Linked DNA regions of Drosophila melanogaster. Changing the gene in region 3 together with the main gene of any one other region gives a genetic interaction. Each region holds a gene or a part of one and is shown on either strand. Other genes may lie near its edges.

What was found.
Region 1: of H (region 3) and klu, changing one suppresses a phenotype caused by changing the other (phenotypic suppression), as found in Drosophila melanogaster (2 studies listed by BioGRID).
Region 2: of H (region 3) and eyg, changing one suppresses a phenotype caused by changing the other (phenotypic suppression), as found in Drosophila melanogaster (2 studies listed by BioGRID).
Region 4: of H (region 3) and Snr1, changing one suppresses a phenotype caused by changing the other (phenotypic suppression), as found in Drosophila melanogaster (one study listed by BioGRID).

What each region holds. Positions count from the first base shown.
Region 1 is NT_037436.4:11,006,153-11,010,968, forward strand, and holds the start of klu (klumpfuss), read right to left. Parts: upstream 3,037-4,816; 5' UTR 2,198-3,036; intron 1-2,197.
Region 2 is NT_037436.4:12,462,001-12,469,585, forward strand, and holds eyg (eyegone), read right to left. Parts: upstream 6,022-7,585; 5' UTR 5,619-6,021; coding exon 5,486-5,618; intron 4,165-5,485; coding exon 3,844-4,164; intron 3,164-3,843; coding exon 3,023-3,163; intron 2,898-3,022; coding exon 2,314-2,897; intron 2,103-2,313; coding exon 1,269-2,102; 3' UTR 537-1,268; downstream 1-536. Other genes in the region: CG32102 (uncharacterized protein), read right to left, coding at 7,157-7,423.
Region 3 is NT_033777.3:20,620,073-20,627,972, forward strand, and holds the start of H (hairless), read left to right. Parts: upstream 1-1,865; 5' UTR 1,866-2,423; coding exon 2,424-2,426; exon of another isoform or gene 2,427-2,511; coding exon 2,512-3,226; intron 3,227-3,298; coding exon 3,299-3,472; intron 3,473-4,058; coding exon 4,059-4,819; intron 4,820-4,969; coding exon 4,970-6,521; intron 6,522-6,687; coding exon 6,688-6,716; 3' UTR 6,717-7,900. Other genes in the region: CG5466 (uncharacterized protein), read left to right, coding at 1-10, 90-283. UniProt on the Drosophila melanogaster protein: Is a potent antagonist of neurogenic gene activity during sensory organ development. The expression of distinct cell fates by the trichogen (shaft) / tormogen (socket) sister cell pair depends on the level of H activity.
Region 4 is NT_033777.3:5,469,033-5,473,257, reverse strand, and holds Snr1 (Snf5-related 1), read right to left. Parts: upstream 2,333-4,225; 5' UTR 2,200-2,332; coding exon 1,928-2,199; intron 1,434-1,927; coding exon 593-1,433; 3' UTR 504-592; downstream 1-503. Other genes in the region: HDAC3 (histone deacetylase 3), read left to right, coding at 1-382; mRpL44 (mitochondrial ribosomal protein L44), read left to right, coding at 2,680-2,746, 2,799-3,697; POLDIP2 (polymerase (DNA-directed), delta interacting protein 2), read right to left, coding at 3,819-4,172.

The DNA.
Region 1 (4,816 bases), on a different chromosome or scaffold from region 3:
GCAGATCCCAAAGGTGTTAAGTCACTTGGCAACTGTGACAGACATGACAGTCTTTGTTTTATTGTTTAACGCATTTCAATTAACAACTCCAATGATCTGTCTGATTGTTAGATGGCCGATGGTGTGTCTCTTTTAACGCACACGTGATGATTGAATTTTAATTTTCAGCCCAGCAGCTTGGCCAAAAGCTGTGACCCCTTTGAGCTGGGGGTCCACCTCCACAACCTTTTGTGGCATTTTTTCTGAATCGGGCACGACTAATCCAAATCAAATGGCTTCTCCAAATCAATTCGTTTTCAATCGTTTAAAGTTAATTAACGCGCCAGAATTTTATTTCACTTTACACATTCCTCTTTCACTGCTCCCCAAAATCGTCTCCTTTGTTCTGTAACACGCTTTTGTTTTGCTGTAAATTTATTTTATGTTTTTTCCTTTTAAGCTTTTTGTTTTTTTTCCCTTTATTGTGTGCATTTTCACTGTTTTTTATTTTATTTTGTATTTTTTCTGAGTTTTTTTGTGTTTTTTTTTTGTATTTCGCTCAACGTCTCAATTTCAATGCGCGCTCTTTTGTTGTTTGTATTAAAATTGTTAATTTAAGGCTGTGTCAGAAATAAATTAACCACTGAACCAGGGACCTTAACTCGACCAAACACAGTATATATGGCGTTATTTTCTTTTTTTTTTTTTATTCCGCCCTGTTTCTAGGGAAGGGAGCCGCCACCAGGAGCACCTAGGTGCTTTTGTGTGGAAAATGCAAATTGCCATTGACATCGGGGTCTGAGAAATGGCGTCGTGCGGGTGAGACTCCAACCAGCGAACCACCTGAGACACCATCGCCACCATTGCCCCCCAACTGCACCACCGATGGAAGCCACCGAGTGGCTCCGTCTGTTTTATATGCCAAATGCAGTGGGACAGCGGCAGACGTCGCCGTTCGTCATATAAGGTGCGGTGCGTATAAGTCAGCCGCGTTGGAGGAGCAGAGAAAAAATCACTCGACATATTGAGAAATGTGCAATAGCCTAATGCCCATTTAAGGCAGCACTTTTCATGGCAAGTTGCATTTATCGCCGATCGGATCGGATCGGATCGGAATCGAAATCGGTTTAGAGCGATCGATCAAGCGTTGTGGCTATTGGCGTTTGGCGTTTGCCAGACAGGTCAAAAGCAAAGCAAACGGATTTTGGTCCAGCACTTGATGCAGTAATCTATGCTAATGGGCAAGTGTAAAACATCGCGGAGCTATTATCGCAGAACTGTTGTTTAAGGAACCAACCACATCGAGCAGATGCCTGTAAATGGTATAAATTACCAATGAATGACATACGATTTAATTGCCTCGACTAAGTAGCAACCGCTAGCAACCAGCAACTTGCAACAAGCAACTAGCAACTAGCAACTTGCAACTTCTGTTGCATACAGATCAGTTGATGTTGTTGCTGCCCGTGTCTCGAGTTGCTGGAATTAATTAATATTGCACTTTTGAAGCGCGTGCATACAAATTTGTCAGCCAGACGGGCAGTTCTTCGGCTCAGGTGTAGACAATTGGCATAGTTCACATAGAGAGAGAGAGAGAGAGAGATAGAGAGAGGGAGTGCAGCCCAGCTCTGCTTTTGGCCAAGATGGGCAATTAAAATTCCCCGAGACTGGCTAAAACTGGAAGTGGGAATCTGGAGCTGCAACTGGATGTGAGGAAACTGGGGCTAAGGGTCCTAGTACTATCTTTCTACCAGGCTCTCTATCTCACTCGCTTTTGTGTGCGTCAATTTGCCAGGCACACGATCTGCAGATCGGCGATGTCAAGTTGCTGCTGCGATTGACGTCAATATAGATAGAGTCAATATGGCATGGGAGTGAGATGAGATTGGGATGATGATGATGATGATGATGATGATGATGTGGATGATGCCACTGGAGGGGGCCCGTGCTGATATGGACTCATCATCAGTCCATCATTCATGGGTGCAATCGATTGCAGCACACACATACATATGTACATATGTATATAGCATATAGCCGCCGATCTGATATTACGCTGAGTGTTATGGTAAACCGATCCTATTCGTAACTGGAGCTCAGCTTTTGACACATTTCGACCAACCAAACAGCACAGCTGAGATGGCACTTTATAGTTTTTTTTCTTTCGGCTGTCCAAATGACTAAGCCGTCGGCAAATTGAGCGATCTCGCGAACTCACCTTTAATTTTTTTTTTTTTTTTTGTAGGAGGGGAATTATCCAAGCATTATCCAATTTGTAGCTTTTGCCTTCGGGGTGGCAAAACACATTTAACAAATATTTTTTAGGCTGCGTTGTGTAAACTCTAATTGCTAATATCAAAATATCACACTTCTTTTATTTTTATGTATTATTTGTGCTTATGCTGCGTTTGCGTGTTTGGCTTATTGTGTGTTTTGCGGCTTTAATTGATTTATATTACTTAATGGGCTGTTAAGACACACACTTTTCACTTGATTTTAAATGATTTGGCGAGTTTAGTTTACGGATTTCTAGGCGTTTAGATACTTTGCAGCTTGCCACTATTAGATTTCGAATTGCTGTTGTTGCACGCGCGATCGTTATTGTTGCAGTTGCAGTTGCAGTTGCAGTTTTGGGCTGCAGTTTCGTGCTGTCGTGTTTCGCGGTCTCGTCGCGTCAACGTGCGAATAACAAATAACGAAAACGTACGAAAAGATTTTCACTGCAAGAGGTTGGTTTTCCCGACGTGGCGTCGTCGTCGGCGTCGGCAGAGCTTCGGCAGCAGCGACGGCAACACCGAACCACCAAGACCTATCCAAACCAACCACTGAAACTCTCTTCGCGGAGAGAGAGAGAAAGAGAGTTTTTTGTGTGGCGGGTTGGAGGGGGAGTCTGTAAGCGCACTGCGAAGATTACGTTACGTTCGGATATATTTTCTATATATTTTTCTTTTTTTTTGGGTCCGAAAAAGACGCGTCTTGGTTATTCAGCACTGAAGAATTTGCGGCAGCGCGTGCGGAGCGTCGATGAACCTGAACCGACACTGCCCAGCAAGAAACTGACTTCTGAGTAGAGTCGCCACTCGTACAGCGACGATACCAGGCACCAATACCATCGCACCGAGAGACACCCACACCGAGGCAAACAGGCGGCGGTATCTGTGTGTTAGTGCCGACTGTTGGCCTCTCATTCGCCGGATAAAGTCGCGAGAGAGCGAGAAAGAGCAGCACGTGCAGTGGAGATTTCTCTAGTTCTTTTTTTTTTTTTTGTGTTCCGCTTTTCTCGGTGGGAGCTGCTCGAAGAGCTTCTCCTCCCACTCTCCGCCCGCCCGAGCAGTTGTTGTTTATGGCTGCGTGGGCTTCTAATTGCTCAAAACTCTATGCCAATGGGGGCACTCGGCTGCATTTGGCGCTTTTGGGTCGCCAGTTGCGAGTCGAGCTCCGAATAGGCACCTCCCACTTCCACCGACTGGCGTTATATAACATCGAATGCGAAGATAAGCTAACGAAATCCGAATCCAAGCGGATGTCTTTTCCACTGTCTTGCAGAAGGCGAAGGCAAATAGAAGCAGCGCTCGTTGAATCCTTTGGGAAGTTGGCCGGCTTTTAGGTCACTTTTCGCATCCTTCGAGCAATATATGTCACTTAATTGAGCCCTTTCTTCTTAATACAGCATTTCATTTTCATTTGAGTTCTAAACTAAACTAAACTTACATTGCTCAGAAGCCAAAAAATTTTGATTTATGCGTTTAGTACTTTATCGACTTTAAGGGCCTTCTAATCTTAGAAACAATTACAAAACAATTTCAAATATATAATTTATTAAAATGTTTTACAAATAGTAATAGCAGCGTTTTTAGTTACAGTTTAAAACTCAAACATTCTCTAAAGCAAAAATGTAAATTCAATACTTTTTGATTGAAATTTAATTAGTCTAGTTTTTAATAATTCTTGGCTTTGAACTTATTTTCTTTTAAAAATAATATAATATTCTTAATTGGAACTCTTTTTTGTTTAACTTCGCAAAAAAATTAAAGCGCTACAAAATGATCTAAAATATATATTTGTTTAATTTTAGACTTTCATTTGTACCCATGAAGTTATTTTTGTCTAACATGCATATAAGCCAACTTGCATTATAAGAAAATCGCAGTTGACTGATTTTGAGCCGCATTGAAGGCCCGGATAAAATCGTCGGATAAACTCTCTCACCTATACCACACACACGTTTCGCTCGCACACAGATACAGTTTCGGTCTCTCTCTCTGCGCTCGTGAGAATCGAAATGCCGGCAAAACAACTTCACAGATACGATATCTGAACTTGAAATGCCGATGCACGAGAGAGAGAGAGAGCGCGCTCTCTCTCTCTTTGCACACCGTGTGTGCGGTTGTGTGTGTGGCGCAGCTGCCGAGGTGTCAGTGTATCTGTGTGCGCCTCCATCCAGGTGTGTATGTGTGTGTTTACAAAACAAAACTGAATTGAGAAAAAACCAAAAAAAAGAAAAAACAAAGCAAAAGCATGCCAAGGCAGCAACAACACAATTTGTGAATGAACGAATAGTGGCGCACTCACACACACACGCACACGCAGATACTCAACCCACACCACTATCTCTAAGTGTGTGTGTGTGTGATTGTGGGCAGGGAAAATAAACGCGTTTACGCGATTCGTACAAAATTCGTGGGTCTTTCAAAAAAGAGAAGCACTGCAAAGAGCCAAAAGTGAACGTAGGTGTTTGGCTATAAGTTATATGCCACATGCTTATTGGTATTATACATATGCACGTATATTTCATATGCAGATGTATGTATGTATGTATGTATGAGTGATTAAAATG
Region 2 (7,585 bases), on a different chromosome or scaffold from region 3:
TTAGTTGGTTCGGCATTTTTAATCGGTCCCCATACGATACCATATGATACCAAACCATACCATCCATTCTCATCTCCTCGTCGCGTTTAGTCTGTCCCCACTGTGTTTGTGCGCGCGGCTTCATTTGGTTATAATTAAAATGTCGATGTTATCAGCCAGATTTGGACATATTGGCCATTACGTTCGAAATTTAAGCGTTTTCTATGCGCGTATTTTGGATTTGGATTTTTTTTTTTTTTTTTTTTTTTTTTGATTTCGATTTCGTTTGGCTTTTTGTTCTGTCTTCGTTCGGTGTATTAATATTTAATAACGTTTTAAGAAGCTTTCGAGTGTTGTTAAATGCTTATTTATGCTTTTCGGCCGTGTTTGGTGTGTTTGTTTGTTGCCCAGTGTGTTTGAATGGATAATTATGCGTGAAATCGAACGTATAAATTGTATTTGTTGTCAAACCAAAGCGAGTCTATACAAACCGATTTCCTGGTCATATATTTCTGTTTGTTTATTGCCGAAAGAAAGTAAACGATTCTTCATTATTTCTTGCACTTTTTATTGGTTTCTCACTCAGCGGTTGACCATTTTAGTTTTTTTCTTTTATTTGAGCCAAAAACACTTAGTCTACGCACTAAATATCAGTTCAAACGCAACCAACTCAAGAATCAAATCCTTAAACAATACGCATTCATAAATAGATTTGGCTTAGGACTATTTTAAAGTTTAAAGTTACATATAGTTAGATATTGCATATGCTATAGCCTTAAATGGTGATGAGGTAAGTCGGCAGCCGGCGAATGAACAAGTATTATAGTATAATTATGCATAACTATAGGGTATACAATGGGCATGTGCATTTCAAGTGGGACAAGCGTGTTCGTATCGGGTATTAGTTACAATTTCAGCTAATCTTAAGCCGCCCATTATGTTGTTGCTGCTGCTTTCTGCTACATTTTTCTGTTTACTTTTTTCTATTTTTATTTAGTTTTTTTTTTCTTTTTTCTAGCGACCCCGAACCGCAGCCAAGTAGGTGAGCAGCATTTTAACTTTGGTTTTTCGATTTGTTTGCCCACTGTGTGTGTAGTCGCTTCTCGTATTTCAGTCCACCAGTTGCAATTTCAAATGCAATTGCAATTGCATCAGTAGTTGCTGTTGCTTTTGCTGCTTTTGTTTTTGTTGCCACTGTCAATCACAGAGGCGCGCACAACTCAGGTTTTCAATTAGACTTTGCCGCCGCCCATCTAGACCAGGTGGCCCTTGTCGCCCATGTCGCCCATCTAGCGGTCATGCTTTAGGAATTGCAACGTGGCCGGCGCATCGGAGGATGACAGGCGAGCCACCTTTGCCGCCGTTGCCGCCGACGACTCAATTTCACCATCGGAATCGTCGTGCACGTTGATCTCCTCATCCGAGTCCGATGACGAGTTGTCCACCGTCATGGTTGAGCCGCCAGATTGAGTGGTGTTGGTATTGGGTCCCGTGCCCTCACCACCGCTCCCCAAACCACCTGCGGAGTAGTGCAATCTGGAGCGCTGCTCCTCGGCGACCGTTAATGATGCAGCCACGGCATATTGCCTGGCCAATCCCAGGAAGGCAGCCGCCGAGGGCGAGCTCACCAGACTCCTGAAGGCACTACGCTCCCCGCCCATGGAGAGGTGATTCGCCGCCGGATTGCATCCACTGGGTGAGAGTTGCTGTTGTTGTTGATGATGTTGCTGCTGCTGCTGCTGATGCTGCTGCTGTTGTTGCTGTTGCTGCTGCTGGTGGTAGTGGCTGAGCAGCTGGAGGGCAGCTGGATGCGTGGGTAGGTGCAGAGGATGATGGTGATGGTGGCCGCCCGGAGGACCATGCAGTGGGTGTAACAGCACCGAAGGTGGCGGACCCTGTGGCGAGTGGTCACCGCACAGGGGCAACGGCTGCTGAGGTGGCGGCACGGGAGCCACTGGAGCGGAGGTGGAGGCACTGCTGTGGTTACTGGGCGTGGGCGAACTGGCCGGTGCATCGTTCGACTGCTGCGAGTGCAGCGGATTGGCGGGACTGGAGCGCTGACGCTTCAGGAGATTCATGCGTTGGTGGCGACGCCATTTAGCCCGGCGATTGGAGAACCACACCTGGAAAGGGTAGAAATAAATGATATTTAATAAAGATTAGTTATTTGAGGTTTTGGTTAATTGGCTTTGAAAGAGGTAACTCTAATTTCTGATATAAAAGTATTGATTTACTCATTAATTTAAATCAAATGGTATGTAACTACTTTACTAGCCACTTTTAATCTTGCTTTTTGAAAGTTTTGAGTGAAGCCTTTGTTTTCACCTGACTCACCTGAACTCTTGCCTCGCTCAAGCTGGTGCGACTGGACAACCGCTCCCTGGTGCTCACACAAGGATAATGACTCTTGTCGAACTCCTTCTCCAGCTCCTCCAACTGCTCCGGACTGAAGGTGGTCCGATTCCGCCTGAACTTGGGCTCATCATCGTCATCCAGATAATCGGAGTCTATGTGCCGGTTCTCATCCGCTGATTCCAAGGTATCATGGCTGCCAGAGCCAGGGGAGATGGCCCGATTGGTTGGTGTGCCACCTGCTCCGCCGGCCATCAAGTGCGCCGAACTGAGGGAGCCACAAGTGGAGACGGGCACAGCGCTCGCTGCACTCGGAGGCAGATTGGCGAGCGTGGGAGCGGCAACGGACCACAGGGCGGATGGAGGTGGCGGTGGTGGTACCCCCTGGCCGCCGGGCACATTGCCGGCCGGATGCCAGGTGAAGCTACCGTACGGATGAGGGGGTGGCGGGTACAGGCCATAGGCGGCGGTGCGAGCAAACTCGGTGGCCACCCGCTCGGCGGCTCGATTGCGCAGGATGCGATTGATGCTGCTCACCGATGGAGCGGTGGCATTAGTGCAGACACCTGCAAGGCGGGATTACGCAATTACCGAGCAGTCGAAGATCGAGATCAAAAGCTAAAAGCGACCGCCGATCAATCAGCGTTCAATCTGCGTCCGCGGATTAGCTGCAATTATGTGGAACACTCACCCTCCGAAATCAGGCGTTCTCGTATCTCCCAGGCGAAGATCGTTGGATTCTCGCGCTTGTACTGTTCGATCTTGGAGACGACCGTCGGCGTGGCCACCTTGGGCTTTGAGCCACCAATTAAGCCCGGTGGTCGCAGCGAGCCTGCAAGAATCAGAGCACAATTCCAGTTAAATTATGAGACAATGGATTTATGACTTTGCCAGCCTGGTTTTGGCAATCCATCTGTTTTTGGCTGGCAGCAAGGATTAACCCTGGTTGCTAATATCTTTATCTGCTCGTTTCATCAACATGTGATGTATGGAAAATATGAATGGGAAAACAATACAAGCCTTGGCAAATACACTGGTAGAAACCAGAGCAGCTCAAGAATTGGAAAACTTAAAAATGAGTGATTTTAACTACTTAAAGTTACTGTAATGACGGGTTTAAAAGACTTAAAAAATTCTAAACATGGAATAAATGTGATCACATATCCTTATTTGGAATTAAGCATTTTTTTCTTTCAGTGCACGGCAGCACGCACCAACCAACACTACCACCAAGGAATACCCGCTCGTGAATAAGCCGCATTTTGATTAATGAGCCAGCCGCGTTTTGGCCACCGCCAGTCAGGAGTTTATGCAATTTTAAGTGGCCAAATTACACGGCTGCGCACACGAGGGATACGCCACGCAGGGGATGGTAGGGGCAACTCGCAGGATAATAACATGTTTATCATAAAAATTAGCAAACAAATCGAAAACAAAGTACCCATTAGTTATCTGATGAGGGAAGGAACTGAGAAACTGAGCGGTCGTCCCTTTCAAGGGCTCACAACTCACCTAGCAACTTGGAGACAGCTCCCTGCTGGGTTAGCATGTGCTGGGCAATGTCATAGCCACGCAGTCCACCGAAACGTGAGAATTCCAGGAGGCGATGCTGTGACATCAGGGTGTTCAATGTGCTCCCCGTGGGTCCACCTGCACCGTGCGGAATGCCGCCAGTGGAGCCGCCGCCGCCAAAGCCGGGTGGTATTTGCACAGATGTGGGTGATGTGGATGTGGCCCCTCCGCCACCGGCTACCGCTCCCGATCCCGCTCCGGCCGCCGCTGCTGCCGCTGCCGCTGCTGCTGCTGCTGCTGCTGCCACGGATGCCGCCGCTACTGCAATTGAATGATAATTGGGTATTGTTATTTTATTGTGGCTTTAGCTGTCGCGGCCACAATGGTTAATTATGATAAATTAAGCGTTAATTGTGTTGACCGAACCGAAATGACTGATGGGTCCTACGAATATATTAGCGTTTCTATTACCCCAGCAAATGTCTAAGCTGATCGAATGGCCAAAATGGTGGCGACACGCAATCGAATCTTCCAGGCACGAGCAGATTTATCAAGCTAATTGATACGACAATGATCTCTTAGTACAAAAGGCGAAAATTAAAATATGTACTCAGCTGGATACGAAAAGAAAGCAAAAAACAAGTAGAAAAACAACTGTGTATTACGTTAATTCGACAGAATATTATATTTGCCTTCGCTTAAAAAACCTACATATATCATTCGGCTTGGGCAACTCGTCGCTCAAATTGTCAATTAGCGTTTTAAATGCGCGTTTCACTTTTGTTGTTTGTCAAGTAAATATTTTTAAAAAAATACGCGCACCTCCAGTCGTGCCTAACTGAATATACATATATGTAAGTATATGGGCCCATAATCAATTGTGCCGCCCATCAAATGAGAACCAGTTTTGTTTATTTCGGTCTATTTAAAGGTGAAAAGCAAGGAAATGGGACTGTCAAATGAGCCACGCAATTGGTAATGTGACATGCGTAACGATTTGTGTTTGTTTTAACTGAAGATTTAAGTTGGAATAACATAAAACATTTGTTATGAACATACTAAGTACGAACATGACAAATTTTAATCGCTTTCTTATAAATGGCCCACATTGTTTAAACTAGAAATATTATAAAGGATCACACTTATTTTATCTTCTGTTTAAGAAAATAAAAAGGCACTCAAAGTTAGTTTTACATAGACCTTTGTATGATCAATTTGATAATTTACATAATTTATCTACCATATACCATTTAAATAAAAAATTGTTTGTTTTACAGCGAAAAGTTAACACCAACTATATTCAAACTAAATGGATCTGGTTAAGAATTACACATAAACACATTTGACCCAGTTTGATACTTTATTTAATACTTTAACCGAAACACCGTTTTAACACACTAATTTAAACGATGCTTAGTTATTAGTTATACATAATTTCAATAATAGATTTTAGGTTTTATCGCGAAAGAACTAATTTGTTTAAATTAAAATTCGAACATTCCGGATTTGCTATCGAATGACATATTACACCTTTGACCCAGTTTCGGATTTATTTTTTGAAGATTTGTGTATATTTTCTTAAAATCCCCAAGCCTGGCTTTGCCGTCGGCAAGACTTCACATGGGCACTTTGGGGCACTTACCACTGGAAGCGTGAGGGGCCAGCGATGTGATGCGTTGGGGATGGGGCTCCATTTTCCAGTGCGCGGCCGAGAGGCCAGAATTAGCGACAGTAAGCGAGCCAAGGTCACGGTTTAAAGTCGGCTCAATCAACATGTCTAAGAATCGCTCTTTCCAATTCTCTTTATTATTTATTGTTATTTTATATTTGTTTATTTTATTAATTTTATTTGGGTATAACACAATCACAGTCACAAGTGTCGCACATCCAAGGCAGAGGTATCGATTATAGCGAATGCAACCGGAAACGGAAATGGAAACGCAATGCGGTCAATTGGATTCATAGCGTGCTGCTCACTCACACACTCGCATACACACGCACACAGATACACACACAGTGACAAATGCACGACAGTCGATCCCGACAGAAACAGTTAGAAAACGCTCCTGCGTATCTCTTGCTCTTATTTTTATTATAGAATTTGTTTTTATCGAATTTCTTGCGAACACTGCGCTCCGTTGAAACGTTGTTCACGCGAAAGCTGCTCTCAGCACAATGAGCGCTTGAATTTCACCTGGTCACCCGGGTCACTCCGCTCCACTCGAACAGTTTCACTCCGCTTTTGAGTGCTTTTCGAAACGCCAACCGGTTTACGAGTACCGTACTTTCATAATGGCGCCCGTTGAGGCAAACTCTTGCTCTCTCGCTCTTCTGCGCGAGAGCGGGACAACCACATGCACACTATGCGCGCACACAAATCAAACAATTATAAACTCGTTGTTGGTAAAGTGCTGAGTATAAACAGTGGCAAGAAGAAGAAGAAGAAGCAGACGAATGAAGAGCAGTGAGTGTGAGAGAGAGCGAACGCTTTGGGGAAGTGACAAGAAGAAGAACCAGAATAAGAAGAGAAAGAGGAGTTGGGGAACCCTTTAATTTTAACTACAAATGTAGTTGGGATACCATAGCACGTTTGAAGTCAACCTTTAGGTGCATTTCTCGCCTAATGTAATATTCTAATTGATTGAATTAACCGTACAGCTTAAATTGTACCATTTAGGAACATTTAGTTCGTAATCTTTACTGTTGAGTAATGCATTCAATTTATCGTTACTTTAAGCCAGAGACCATGGCCCCAATAAGTAGGCACTTTCAAATACCAACTCTTGATTATCATATCGATCTGTGTACAAATGAGCTACATTTACAAAAGTTCATGCATATGTATAATCTCTAACAATTAAGGCTAAAGACTGAAAAGAAGTTTGGCTTTTTGCTTACACTTCTAAAATAAATAATAATAATAAAATATTTTATTTCGAAATTATTAAAATAGCTGTAATATTGTATCAATAAAATGGCAGTATGGTATGTTTGTTTTACTTTTTATTTGATTCTACTCAGGAGAAAGACAAAAAAATATATATAAATAATTGGTAAATAATACCTCAGCAAAATATAAACATTAGCATTATAATAAAACAGAAAAGCATTAAATTGCTTCCTTTTTGTGGACTTCATAACTACTATTCCGCTTTTAAACTGACCAATTGCAATTAAAACTCGATTTTTAAACATAAACTTATTAAAAGAAGATTTAAGCCTGAAAGTCCTTTTTAAACAAACTAAATCGTTTATTGCATTGAAAGATAACATAAAATGATCGCTAAATAACAATAACTAAAATGCCTGCAATTTAAAAGAGCTTAGTAGCATATAGCCATTTGAAAGGAATTTTAATCCGGTCAAATGTGCAGTGAAGTGGCCAAATTGCATCCATTGCGATCCAGAGTGAACCTTGGACACGTATAAATCGCATGCGTGGCATGGGCCGTTTGCCATTCAGGTTTGCACTGCCCGTTTTGGGTCGTTGTCTCCCGGCCTTTGGTGCGTGATGGATGATTGATGTGCTGCCTGGGCAAGGCAATCCGATGTGAATCGAAACTGCAACTAAACTACACATGGCGTGATCGGGGAGCCACACAGATCACAGCTCGCAGCTCGCAACTCTCAGAACAGAACGGGGCAGAAACGGGCTACACCAAGTGGCAGAGTGGCCTGCACAGAAGCCAAATTGCATCAAAGCCCACGGATTGAGTGGCTCCCGGCGATGCAGGATTCGAAT
Region 3 (7,900 bases):
CTGCAGAAAAGTGAGTACCTTGGCTGGGAACCGGTTTCGCTATCTGCGATGCTGACCGCCTCCTGCTTGCTCGTTCTCTTCCCCGACAGCCCTCATGGACACCATTCAGATCGTGCAGACGCTGCGCAACTGCCTCCCAGCTCCTCACATACCCGTGTCGTCCTGGAAAAGTGAGAGCGAGGGCAACGTGGGATCAGGAGTGAGCGCGGGAGTAGGAGTGGGTGTCCCTGCAGGACTTAACCTGGGCGCCGCCTTGGGTCTGCCATCGGGCAACATGCACTAGATGCGGGCTGGAGCTCATCGGGTAGCATGCAATAGCTCCGGATTTATCCACTCACATTCTTCCAGCAGTTAGAGAACACTTAGTACTTACACGCAGAGAAAAGCATAGATGATAGGCATAGCAATTTACCCTCGTAGGCGTGGCTCCAGTTTTCCTTTTAGCAATTACGTGCCATGTTCAACACAAGACTTGATTTCACATTTTCCACATTTGACTGACCTTTAGGCATACATATGTATCGAATCCCGCGGCTTGAATTTGATTCCCATCACTCTTTGTTTTCCAGTTTGGCATGCAAAATTATGAAGCAAATCGGCAAATTAGTTAAACAATTGGCAAAACGTCTGTGATATTTGAATTATGTTGGCAAACGGAAGACAAAACTAAATTTAATTTATTACGTTGTGTGCCCTCTGTTGTAATGTCTTACTTTTTACTTTGTGCAATATCTACTAAGCATATATTCTTAGCCGTTCTCGTGCAATCGACGACTTTTCGCCCATATCAAAAGCAACTCGAATGTAGCCTATACTTAAACTAACCTACTGATAATCGGACATGATAGACGCGTAAGACTTACATTATATTTTGCATTAGGACTTCAGAGTATCTGAATAACAATTGGCGGATGGCCGCGGTGGCGAAAGCGACATTACGAGTTGTGTTTAAATTTAAGAAGCTGAAGAAGGGTTGTACTCCGCATGCAAGGGCTATTTAAATATATATTTTAACCCGCCCGAGCTCACCATTACCAGAAATTCGATAAACGAGCAAACAGTATTATACGCAATAAAAAGACACCTGCAACCATAAGTATTTACCTAGCTGATGTGTGGGAATTTATCGTAACATACCATATTATCGCTTAATGTTTAACTTCTGGACTTAATAATAAATAAATATTTTATTCTACGACAAAGAAGAACTTTTCAATGTAACATTATTAACTGCTTTAAGTCATATCCTTAAACTTTCGCCTTGAAAATCTTTAAAACCCTACAGGTATTCCAAATTAATAATCTCAGGTGCTAGAAATTTAATTAATATATTTTGGAAACAGCATAAATTAGTGAAAATACAACATTGTTTTAATCAAACATTTTTAAAAGCATGTTTTCGGTTGCAAAGTTTTCCAATTTCAATCCTGAAATTAAAGTTGAGTTGAACAATTGCTATAAAAAGCGACCATTTATTACGTTTTATAAACTGTCCCGATTGTGATTTTAGTTGTTTATTTTATTTCATATTTAAAACCGTTACTATTTTAAAAATCGTTCGCTAAAGATTGTGCTTTTAAGCATTGATAACTATCGCTAATTGCCAGAATTCGTAATCTTATTTGACTTGAATTGTAAAAATATAGGATTTAGGATTTTTACCAAATAGATGTAGTTCAAAGAACACAATTCTTTTTATTATTAAGCATTTTATTTTGGGAGTTCCTTGCACTAGCTTTTTGCAGCGACCTGTGTGTAAGCTTACATTGAGATAACATTAATGTGAACGTGCAGCGAATGCAGCACTATAACATTGGCCAGTGGAAACATGATATTTGCTAGCATGCTGACTGGCGCCGTGGATTTTGACGTTCTTAGTTGACGGTCACACAGCGCACCGAGCTGCGTTTTTCGTTGATAATTTTTAAATTTATTTATTAGTTTATTGGTTGGAAATAGAGCTGCCCCCAACTGCCCGCTGACCACGGAATTATCGGTCCGGTCCACCGACCTCCGCTTTCACACACTATTCGGCAATCGATATATACGCTGACGGTAATTGGAGAACGTTTTTTCCATTTTATCTCCACCTTGTCCGCACTTCGTTTTGTGCTCTCTTTGTGCGCTGCCTCCGCTTAACATTTGGGCCTGTAAGAAACACATATAAGCAGAACGGCCCGCCGTGTGTGCCTGTGAAATTGGTTAAATAACGTACAGTGGAATGGGCCAATGGCCAAAATGCAATAAGAATATGTGTGTGCAATAAAAATAGGGAACGGTACCGTGCCCCAAAACATGAAAATGGTGCTAGACGCTCCTAACGCCGTGCCGAGCTGGCATATTTTGCTTAGCGACGCCGTCGGCTCCGTTTTTCCCGGCCGCGAACTTTGCGCGAGGAATTTACAACAAAAACAATGAATTAAATGGTATTTAAATTGTCCATATAATGCGGTTTGGAAATGCGAAATTGTGCCTAACTTGCCCAATGCAAACGAATGTTTCTCTTTGAAGGCCCTGCTTAATGACGTCACAAGCGTAGCAGAGTGCAACAGACAGACAACAATGACCGATGAGCATAAAAGTAACATTAACAGTAACAGCAGTCACTCCAGCAACAACAACAACAACGGCAGCAGCAGCAATAACGACAACAACAGCAACGACGACGCAGCAAGTAGCAGCAACAGCAAAAACAACAACACCAGCAACGAGAGCAGCCACAGCAACAACAATACTAGTAGCATAATTGCAGAGGCGGCCGCCAAGTTTCTACTGAAAAATGGCCTAAACGGCAGTAGCAGCACCAGCTACCCCCCTCTGCCACCGCCTCTGCCCGCCAACTTAAGCAGGACGACCACGCCCACGACAACGACAACGCCCTCATCCTCCAGCTCCACCGCCTCAAATGGCTTTTTGCCGCATGCCAAGACGCCCAAAAGTAGTAGCATTATGGCTGCGTCCGCCGCAGTGGCAGCCAGCGTCGTTGGAGCTACTGCGTCCAAGCCCACCATCGATGTCCTGGGGGGCGTCCTGGACTACAGTTCCTTGGGCGGAGCTGCAACAGGCTCACTGCCCACCACTGCAGTAGTAGCGGCGGCAGCGGGAACAGCGAAGATCGGCAAGGGAAGCAACTCCGGCGGAAGCTTTGATATGGGCAGGACACCAATATCGACGCACGGCAACAACAGCTGGGGCGGCTACGGTGGTCGTTTGCAGTTCTTTAAAGGTAAGTATCTTGGTTTATTTATACCGAATCAGAGCAGTGTAAAGAAAACCATTTTTTAACTATTCTGCGTAGATGGCAAATTCATATTGGAACTGGCGCGGTCCAAGGATGGCGATAAAAGCGGCTGGGTTTCGGTCACGCGCAAGACCTTCCGCCCTCCATCGGCGGCCACCTCCGCAACTGTGACCCCAACGTCGGCGGTGACCACAGCGTATCCAAAGAACGAGAATTCCACATCGCTGAGCTGTACGTAACACATGGCATAGTAGTTCCCAACGGATTACCCCTTCCATTTAATTACTTGACCCGATTGGAATCAGATTTGAGTAAAAGGAATTGGATTTTGAAACATGTGTAGATAGCTAGCTTAATCCGAGCGGTCAAAGCTTACAAACACTTGCAGTTATAAAAAACATGTGCCTATTTGACTTAAATTGTTCTAATGGCACGTAGAGGATAAAGTCCAATTTCGAAAACAAAAAATCTGTAAAAAACGACCGCACCTATGTTCAAATCTCTGATCTATTTTAAAACTGTATATATCGGCCATCTCTAATATTATATTTAAAATCTACGAAAATGTCAAACGTTTTAATGAAATAGTAAGAAAAAACCAAACTGTTCAGAATCGGTCATGTTCTTTGTATGACAGTTTTCCAATTCGATCCTATAAAATATAATGTCCTCCCATCCTTGTATACATTTAAATCCTATTTCATAAATTGTTAACAATCTGAATCAAACAAAAGCAAATATTTATTTATGCCAAACTATAATTAACTACTACAATTTGTCTATGTATACCTTGCGTTAATATTCCTCTTCATTGCAGTTTCGGACGACAACAGCTCGATACAATCCTCTCCTTGGCAGCGAGACCAGCCCTGGAAACAGTCCCGACCCAGGCGCGGCATATCTAAGGAGCTGTCGCTCTTCTTCCACCGCCCCAGGAACAGTACGCTTGGCCGAGCTGCTCTCCGGACAGCCGCTCGCAAACGACGGCGCCCCCACGAGCCGCTTACCACCAGCGAGGATCAGCAGCCCATTTTTGCGACGGCAATCAAGGCGGAAAATGGAGACGATACTCTTAAAGCAGAAGCTGCAGAGGCCGTTGAAATTGAAAATGTTGCTGTGGCGGACACAACCACAAATGAGATTAAAATTGAAAAACCGGACACGATCAAAGGCGAGGATGATGCTGAACGGCTCGAAAAGGAGCCGAAGAAGGCGGTTAGCGATGATAGCGAGTCAAAAGAAGCATCGCCCGGTCAGCAAGTGGAACCACAACCAAAAGATGAGACTGTTGATGTTGAGATGAAGATGAATACGAGCGAGGATGAGGAACCCATGACAGAGCTGCCCAGAATCACGAATGCCGTAAATGGTGATCTAAACGGCGATCTAAAGGCGAGCATTGGGAAACCAAAATCCAAGCCGAAGCCAAAAGCCAAGCTCAGCAGCATCATTCAGAAACTCATCGATAGCGTACCAGCACGGCTTGAGCAAATGTCGAAGACATCAGCTGTGATCGCATCGACAACGACGTCTTCAGATCGCATTGGTGGCGGTCTAAGTCACGCCTTGACGCACAAAGTAAGTTTTACTTGGCACAACCTGCATAAGCTGCGGTTTCAAATGTTAATCATGTACTGCAACATTTTTATTATGTTAAAGTTGTAAATCTAGTTAGGGACTTTCATAAAGAAAAAACTTTGAATTGACCACTTAAATATCTTCTTTTAGGTTTCTCCACCCTCTTCTGCGACAGCAGCCGGACGACTAGTCGAGTACCACACCCAGCACGTGTCGCCCAGGAAAAGAATCCTGCGCGAGTTCGAAAAGGTGTCGCTAGAGGACAACGGATGCGTAAACAACGGCAGCGGTGGAGCTAGTAGCGGTGGTGCTGGAGGAAAACGGAGTCGAGCAAAGGGAACTTCGACATCGTCTCCGGCTGGCAAGGCGTCACCAATGAACTTGGCGCCACCCCAAGGAAAGCCAAGCCCCAGTCCCGGCTCCAGCTCATCCAGCACTTCGCCAGCGACCTTGTCAACGCAGCCAACGCGGCTCAACAGCTCTTACAGTATCCACTCCCTGCTAGGTGGGAGCAGTGGCAGCGGTAGCTCATCCTTCTCCTCCTCTGGCAAGAAGTGCGGCGATCACCCGGCAGCTATTATCAGCAATGTGCACCATCCACAGCACTCAATGTACCAACCCAGTTCCTCGAGCTATCCACGCGCCCTGCTCACCTCGCCAAAGTCGCCCGATGTGAGTGGCAGCAATGGCGGGGGCGGAAAATCGCCCTCGCATACAGGAACCAAGAAGCGTTCGCCACCGTACTCGGCGGGATCACCCGTAGACTATGGCCACTCCTTCTACAGGGATCCCTATGCGGGAGCAGGTCGTCCTTCCACATCGGGCTCAGCATCGCAGGACCTGTCGCCACCGCGCTCTTCCCCAGCATCGCCAGCCACGACGCCGCGTACTGTGCCCAAAAAGACTGCATCGATCCGACGCGAGTTCGCTTCACCGTCGGCCAGCAGCAGTAGCTGTCCCTCGCCCGGCGACCGGAGTGCATCGCCCCCGGAACGGCGGCACATGCAGCAGCAGCCGCACCTACAGCGTAGCTCGCCGCTGCACTACTATATGTACCCGCCACCGCCCCAGGTGAACGGGAACGGCTCGGCCGGAAGTCCGACCTCGGCGCCGCCCACGTCGAACAGCAGTGCAGCTGCAGTAGCGGCGGCAGCAGCGGCCGCAGCCGCATACATTCCCTCGCCTTCGATATACAACCCGTACATATCCACACTGGCGGCGTTGAGGCACAATCCGCTGTGGATGCACCACTATCAGACAGGAGCGTCGCCCCTGCTGTCGCCACATCCACAACCCGGTGGCTCAGCGGCCGCCGCTGCTGCAGCTGCTGCTGCGAGATTATCGCCCCAATCGGCCTATCACGCGTTCGCGTATAACGGAGTGGGAGCGGCTGTTGCCGCTGCAGCAGCTGCGGCAGCCTTTGGACAACCGGCGCCCAGTCCCCACACGCATCCGCACTTGGCCCATCCGCACCAGCATCCGCACCCGGCTGCACTGACCACCCACCACTCTCCCGCTCACCTGGCCACGCCAAAACTGACTGATAGTAGTACCGACCAAATGTCTGCAACGTCCAGTCATCGCACAGCCTCCACTTCGCCGAGCAGCTCGAGCGCATCGGCCTCCTCCTCGGCGGCCACTTCGGGCGCCAGCTCCTCCGCAATGTTTCATACTAGTAGTCTAAGGAATGAACAAAGTTCAGGTAAGCATTCAATCAGTGCACCAATAATGGCAAGCAGTTTGATGATTCAATTTTCATTCCTCTGGGAATGTCTGAAGAAAATATATTACAGATCCATTTATTATGTTGTCAATTTAATGCACGTAAAACACAATTTAATAACGTTTCTTATTTATTTCTTCCTTAGACTTACCACTGAATCTGTCAAAGCACTGAGACATACACACGCCCCAGCTGCCCCAGTTTCTGGGCCAACCATTCGAGTTAAGAACATTTTCGCACTAGTAGCGCTTAAGACGACATTCAATACACGTAATATAATTTGATAAGTTCGCTGATAGTTTAGTTGTAACCCGATTGTTTAATCCTAAGCCTAATCCTAGGTTCTCAATTAGGGCCGAACATTTAGAAATCGCATACAAAAAGAGATGAAAAACTCAACTTTGTTTTTAAACCCGTTCCAGAACTCTTTATACAATCAGTTGAGAAATTTTATTTTCGACAAACTGAATAAAATATGCAAAGGAATTTTATTCTATGCCGACTAATGGAAAGAAATACTAATAAAAACATTTTCTATAGGATGTATAAAATGCAAGTCTTAAAGAATCTCAAAAAAGAGTTACGTTTTTTTCATCAAAACATTTCCTTGAAACAGACTGAACCTGAATTTTTTTAGAAAAAAAAAATGAAAAACTTAGTTACGAATCGCAAAATATAACATTTTAAAGTATATTTAACAAAACTACAAGAACAGATTTTTATAAAATGCTTGTGCCTTTAAAAATGGAAACAGAACTAGGGATACAAAAATTAATATTAAAAAGAAAAAGAAGTTTACTATAAAAACATTTATGTGCAAGCATGTGCAGGTATTCTATGGTGAAAACTTTAGAATTTCTTGATATCGTGGTCCAAAATGCAGTTGACAGGAATTTGCACTAAGCAGATTGTATACGACACCAACTTTTTAAGTACTTTTAAAAATGTATCTTTTAATTATTTCGGAATAATTATTCTAAAATAGTTAAAAGATAAAAGCAATCCAAAACTATACAACTCGTCTGTACTTCAAAACGAAAGAGATTACTCTTTGGTCTTACATTTTTTGGTAGACTGTAAAAACTAAAATTCGAAAAAATTGTTGAAGTTTGAATTTAAATCCTCGGCGGATCTAAATTTAACCTCCACGATTGTTGTCACCATCAAAAATATTATATAACTGTGCCTAGTGCACATTCGCTGTCAGTGGCTGTCCAATCAAAAACAAATAAAATGTACAAAAAATCCACATATACGACAAATTTACAAGAAACGGAAAGCAAAAAGATCCTAAGCAGACAATTTCAAACCGGAACTCGTACAACTGAAACTGATACAAATAAAAAACATATTCCTAA
Region 4 (4,225 bases), about 15 Mb from region 3:
GACGCACGAGACCTCGCTGCTGGTGGACCAAGACATTGAAAATGACCTACCCGCCACCGAGTATTACGACTTTTTCGCCCCCGACTTTACACTCCATCCAGAGATTAACTCACGCCAAGATAATGCTAACTCAAAGCAGTATCTTGAACTCATCGTTAAGCATGTGTATGAAAACCTTAAGATGTGCCAGCACTCGCCCAGCGTCCAAATGGTGCAGACCCCGCCTGATGTGGACTTGGAGGAGCTGCGCAGCAACCGGGAGGAGGCGAGTGATCCCGACGTGCGAATATCCGTAGCCGATGAGGACAAGCTGGTTGATGCTAAGAACGAGTTCTACGACGGCGATCAGGACCAAGACAAGCCCGATTCGGCAGAAAGTTAGTATTGGATAATGTAGAATAAGGATTCGAGTTTAGCGTAAGCAGTAAAGAGTATCAGCTTATTTTGTAACATCGTTTGGAACTATTTTTTTTGGAAGTAGCGCGTAGAAGACAATAGGTTTTAAAATCGACAGACACACATTTATTTGGGATGCATAATGGTACTTAATAGGAGGATTACATTAGTGACACATTGCTGGATCGGCGGAAGATCACCAACCAGTTGTGGTATTGGCCAGTCGTCGCATTCTGCGCGTGTTGCGGTCCTGGTCGCGGATTTTCTTCTCCATTTCGGCGTCGGTAAGCGTCTCTAGGAATGGCGCCCATGCGTCAGCGTCGCTGGGATTCCGGAAGGGCACATCAATCGTTGATAGAGGGGCCTCGCTGAAGGCGTACGTTCGACAGTGCCACGATAGCTGACCCCTAATGCTGTAGGCAATGGCCGTAACAAACTCTCCTCCCAATCCCAATTCCGCACAGAGTTTAATGGCAAACTCCTCGGGGTTGTTGTTCTTCTCGGACATGTCCCACTCGACCTGGTCGACGAGCGAGGTGTTGCCCACGTGAATGTTCAGCTTAACAATGACCCGCTGGTCGCAGGTCTCCTCGAGGATGGGGGGATCGTTGGGAAAGGCTTCGATCTGCTGTCGGATGGCCTGTGCAATAGCCGGCACAAAGGGCAGGGGATTGAGGTCCAGGTCGTCGCACAGCACCTCGGCAAACTGCTCCGGAGTAATCATGCTCTCGTTCTTGTTCCACGTGAAGGTGTCGCGCAGCTTTTGACCCTCTAGCTCCATGTCCAGTCGAATGGGCACCAGGCACTCCTTCTGCGCCGCATTCTCCAGGCTAGCCGTGGGATCCGTGTCGTCGAAACACATCGGGAATGTGCGAACCTTCTTCGTGTGCACTCGGTTTCGGTTGATTGGCGTGGCCTGTGGCACTGCGTCCAGGTGGCTGGAGTTCGGCATCGTGGGCACATACTGTGGCTGCTTCTTTGACTTGCTCTCCCGCGGCACTGGCGTATCGGAAGTGTTCACGGAGACGGCGCGATACCTGGGACGGAGATTCATGGTTAGTTAAATCAACTGTTAGCAAATTGACTGATTGGCCCTGCAAGCAGGCAAAATTTACCCAACATTCTGACAATAATACAATTCTCCGTGCTCAATTGGAAATCGTTGTCAATCATACAGACTATTGTGGCAGCTTTGCCAAAAATGTCTATGACATTTTTCCATATTTTTTCAAAATAACTGGGCAGTGTGTGGCTATGTGTGTTTGTATACGTCTTCACTTCAGAATGATAAGTGGTTTTTAACTAAGTGGTCATTAACAATGTTACTAAAATGAAGAATCTTCAGCCAAATGTACACATGTCTTATATTTGATAAAAGGATTACTTGATACCATTGGATTAAACATTTAAAAACAAACGTTTAAGTAGGACTAGTAGGAAGTAGATATCAACGAAGTTAATTGGAATTTTTAGGAAAGGCCCTATTTAGTTACTATTCTGGGGACATTACTTAGGTAAGACGCCCACTTACTTTTCATCGTTGCCGGCCATGATATCATCCACCTCTACGGCGCGGAGCAGCGATACAGAGCTGGCTAAGATGTGGGAGCTGAGGCCGGACTCAGCCAGCCGCTTGCGCTCCTCGTTGGACAGGACGATGCGGGTCATTCCCGGGTACTTCTTGTACAGAATGCCGCGGAAGTGGCGCATGTAGTTGCCCACTTCCGAGCCCACGTAGTAGTACTCGCCGCCCTCCTCCAGCTGGAAGGCCACCGGCTTGTCCCCGTATGTCTGCAGTGCCATGTTGGGTATATTTTCTTCTGTGGTCTCTCAATGCCCTGTTTCTGGCAGGGATTCCTTGTTAATATTCCGCGACTTAAATTTTCTTGGCGCATACACAAACACAGACATGTACATGGCGTCTATTGCGGGAGTGTTGGAAAACGAGCGGGTGCCACCAACGCAATTTAGTACTGGCGCCTTTTAGCTACAAAACGCTAAATAAAAAGCTGAAAGTATTTTTCGTTATAATTACTCGATTAAATGATAAAATTATAATTCATAAAGAAACATATTTAGTTATTATTATTTTTTTTTAATTATACATCTCTGAATAAATATAGAAACAACAAGAAACAAATATTATTAAAATGTATAAGTTAAGTTATAAGTTATAAAATTATATTTACGGTTAGACTGCCATCACTGCCACAAAAACCCGTGCAACACTAGTTCCCATGCGCGAAAACATATTCGTTACTTATTTTTAAGATCGCTTTAAAGATGTCATTCTTACGCAGTGCTGTTGGTCTCCTGGCTCGTGTCAAGCTCTTGGAGGGCTCACCGACTGGTGAGTAACCCGGATTCACCTAATGCCAGTCAGTAATCGTGATTTTCGGCAGTGCAAACGAGGCGCCACATCAAGCGATGGGTTTCGCCAACGTTACGTGAGCTCGCCCACCGGCAGAAGAAACTAGGACCACAAAAGCCAGAGCGGCGTTCTGGGTTCGTGGAGTGGAACCAGCGATCGGAGCTCTTCGCGTTCGGCAAGCGTTTGGGCGAATCCTTTGAATTGTCGGAGCTGCAGCGTGCTTTTACAGAGAAATCGTTTGCAGAGCGGGAGGAGGATCGTCGTCGGCAGCTAGGCATTGAGGAGTCTGACCTCCAGATGCCTCACAATAGCGATCTGGTCGAGAAGGGCCAACAAATTGCCCGTGCCTACGTTGAGGCCTTCCTGCAGCACCAGTTACCGAAGGTCCCTAATGAAGGACTCCAGGCGATCGCCAGTTATCTACTTAGCACCGAAACGCTTGCTCACGTCTCGACCCACCTGGGCACAAAGGATCTGATACAGTCTACGGAATACCCGCCCTCGGCCGAAAGTCAGGCCAAATCTTTACACGCAGTTATTGGCGCCCTGGCCAGTTCCAGTGGAATCGAGAGGGCTTTCATTTTTGTACGCGATTTCATCTGCACGCAACTGAATCAAAAGGACCTGTTGGAGGTGTGGACTCCCCAGGAACCAATCCAGCTGCTGGAGAAGATATGCCAGGAGCGAAAGCTGGGCGAAGCGGAGCCCCGCCTGCTTGGAGACTGCGGAAAGAACACTGTGCTAGCCGCCTACCAAGTAGGCATCTACGCCAACCGGCAGCTACTGGGCAAGGGATTCGGTGAAGATGTGAAAACAGCCACAGAGACTGCGGCACTCGACGCTCTGCAGAGCATCTTTGACACCCGCGACAACCGGAGACCCTTTGACTTTGCCATTCAGCTAGAACCAAAGACCGTGCGACTTGGCTGAGAATCAAAACTGGCTCTGCGTCCTTGTTGATTATTGTAATTTGCACTAAACACATGTACGCATGCATTGTCAGAAAAGATTGCGTTTTAAAATCATTTAACTACGGGTGAACAACTGCCTCTTAATCGCTATCGTCGCGCTTTTTATCGTGGGCACTGGGCGTGGCCGGTGTGGGCGTCCCTAGGTCGTCCGGCTTGCTCTCCAGTGAGAAGGGCGGAATCTTGCAATCGAAGGAGTATCCGTCTTCGCGCTCCAGCCGGAAGGTGCCCCACATATGGCCGCTGGGAGCCTGCAGGCTCACATGGCTGCTGTACTGAAAGGCGGGCAGCCGGGGGCTCAGAATGGGCTCCTGGCCCACCACTCCTCTTCCGCGCACCGTCTCCAGGGTTCCAGACAGTGAGAAAATGCGCCAGTGGCGCTCGCGCAGCTGCACGCTCAGCTCGCCGAGGTTCTCCAGTCGGATGCAGTAGCGCCACTGGAAAGGTACTTTATGACGTTAAACTAAAGAAAGGAGTTTCTTATTAACGC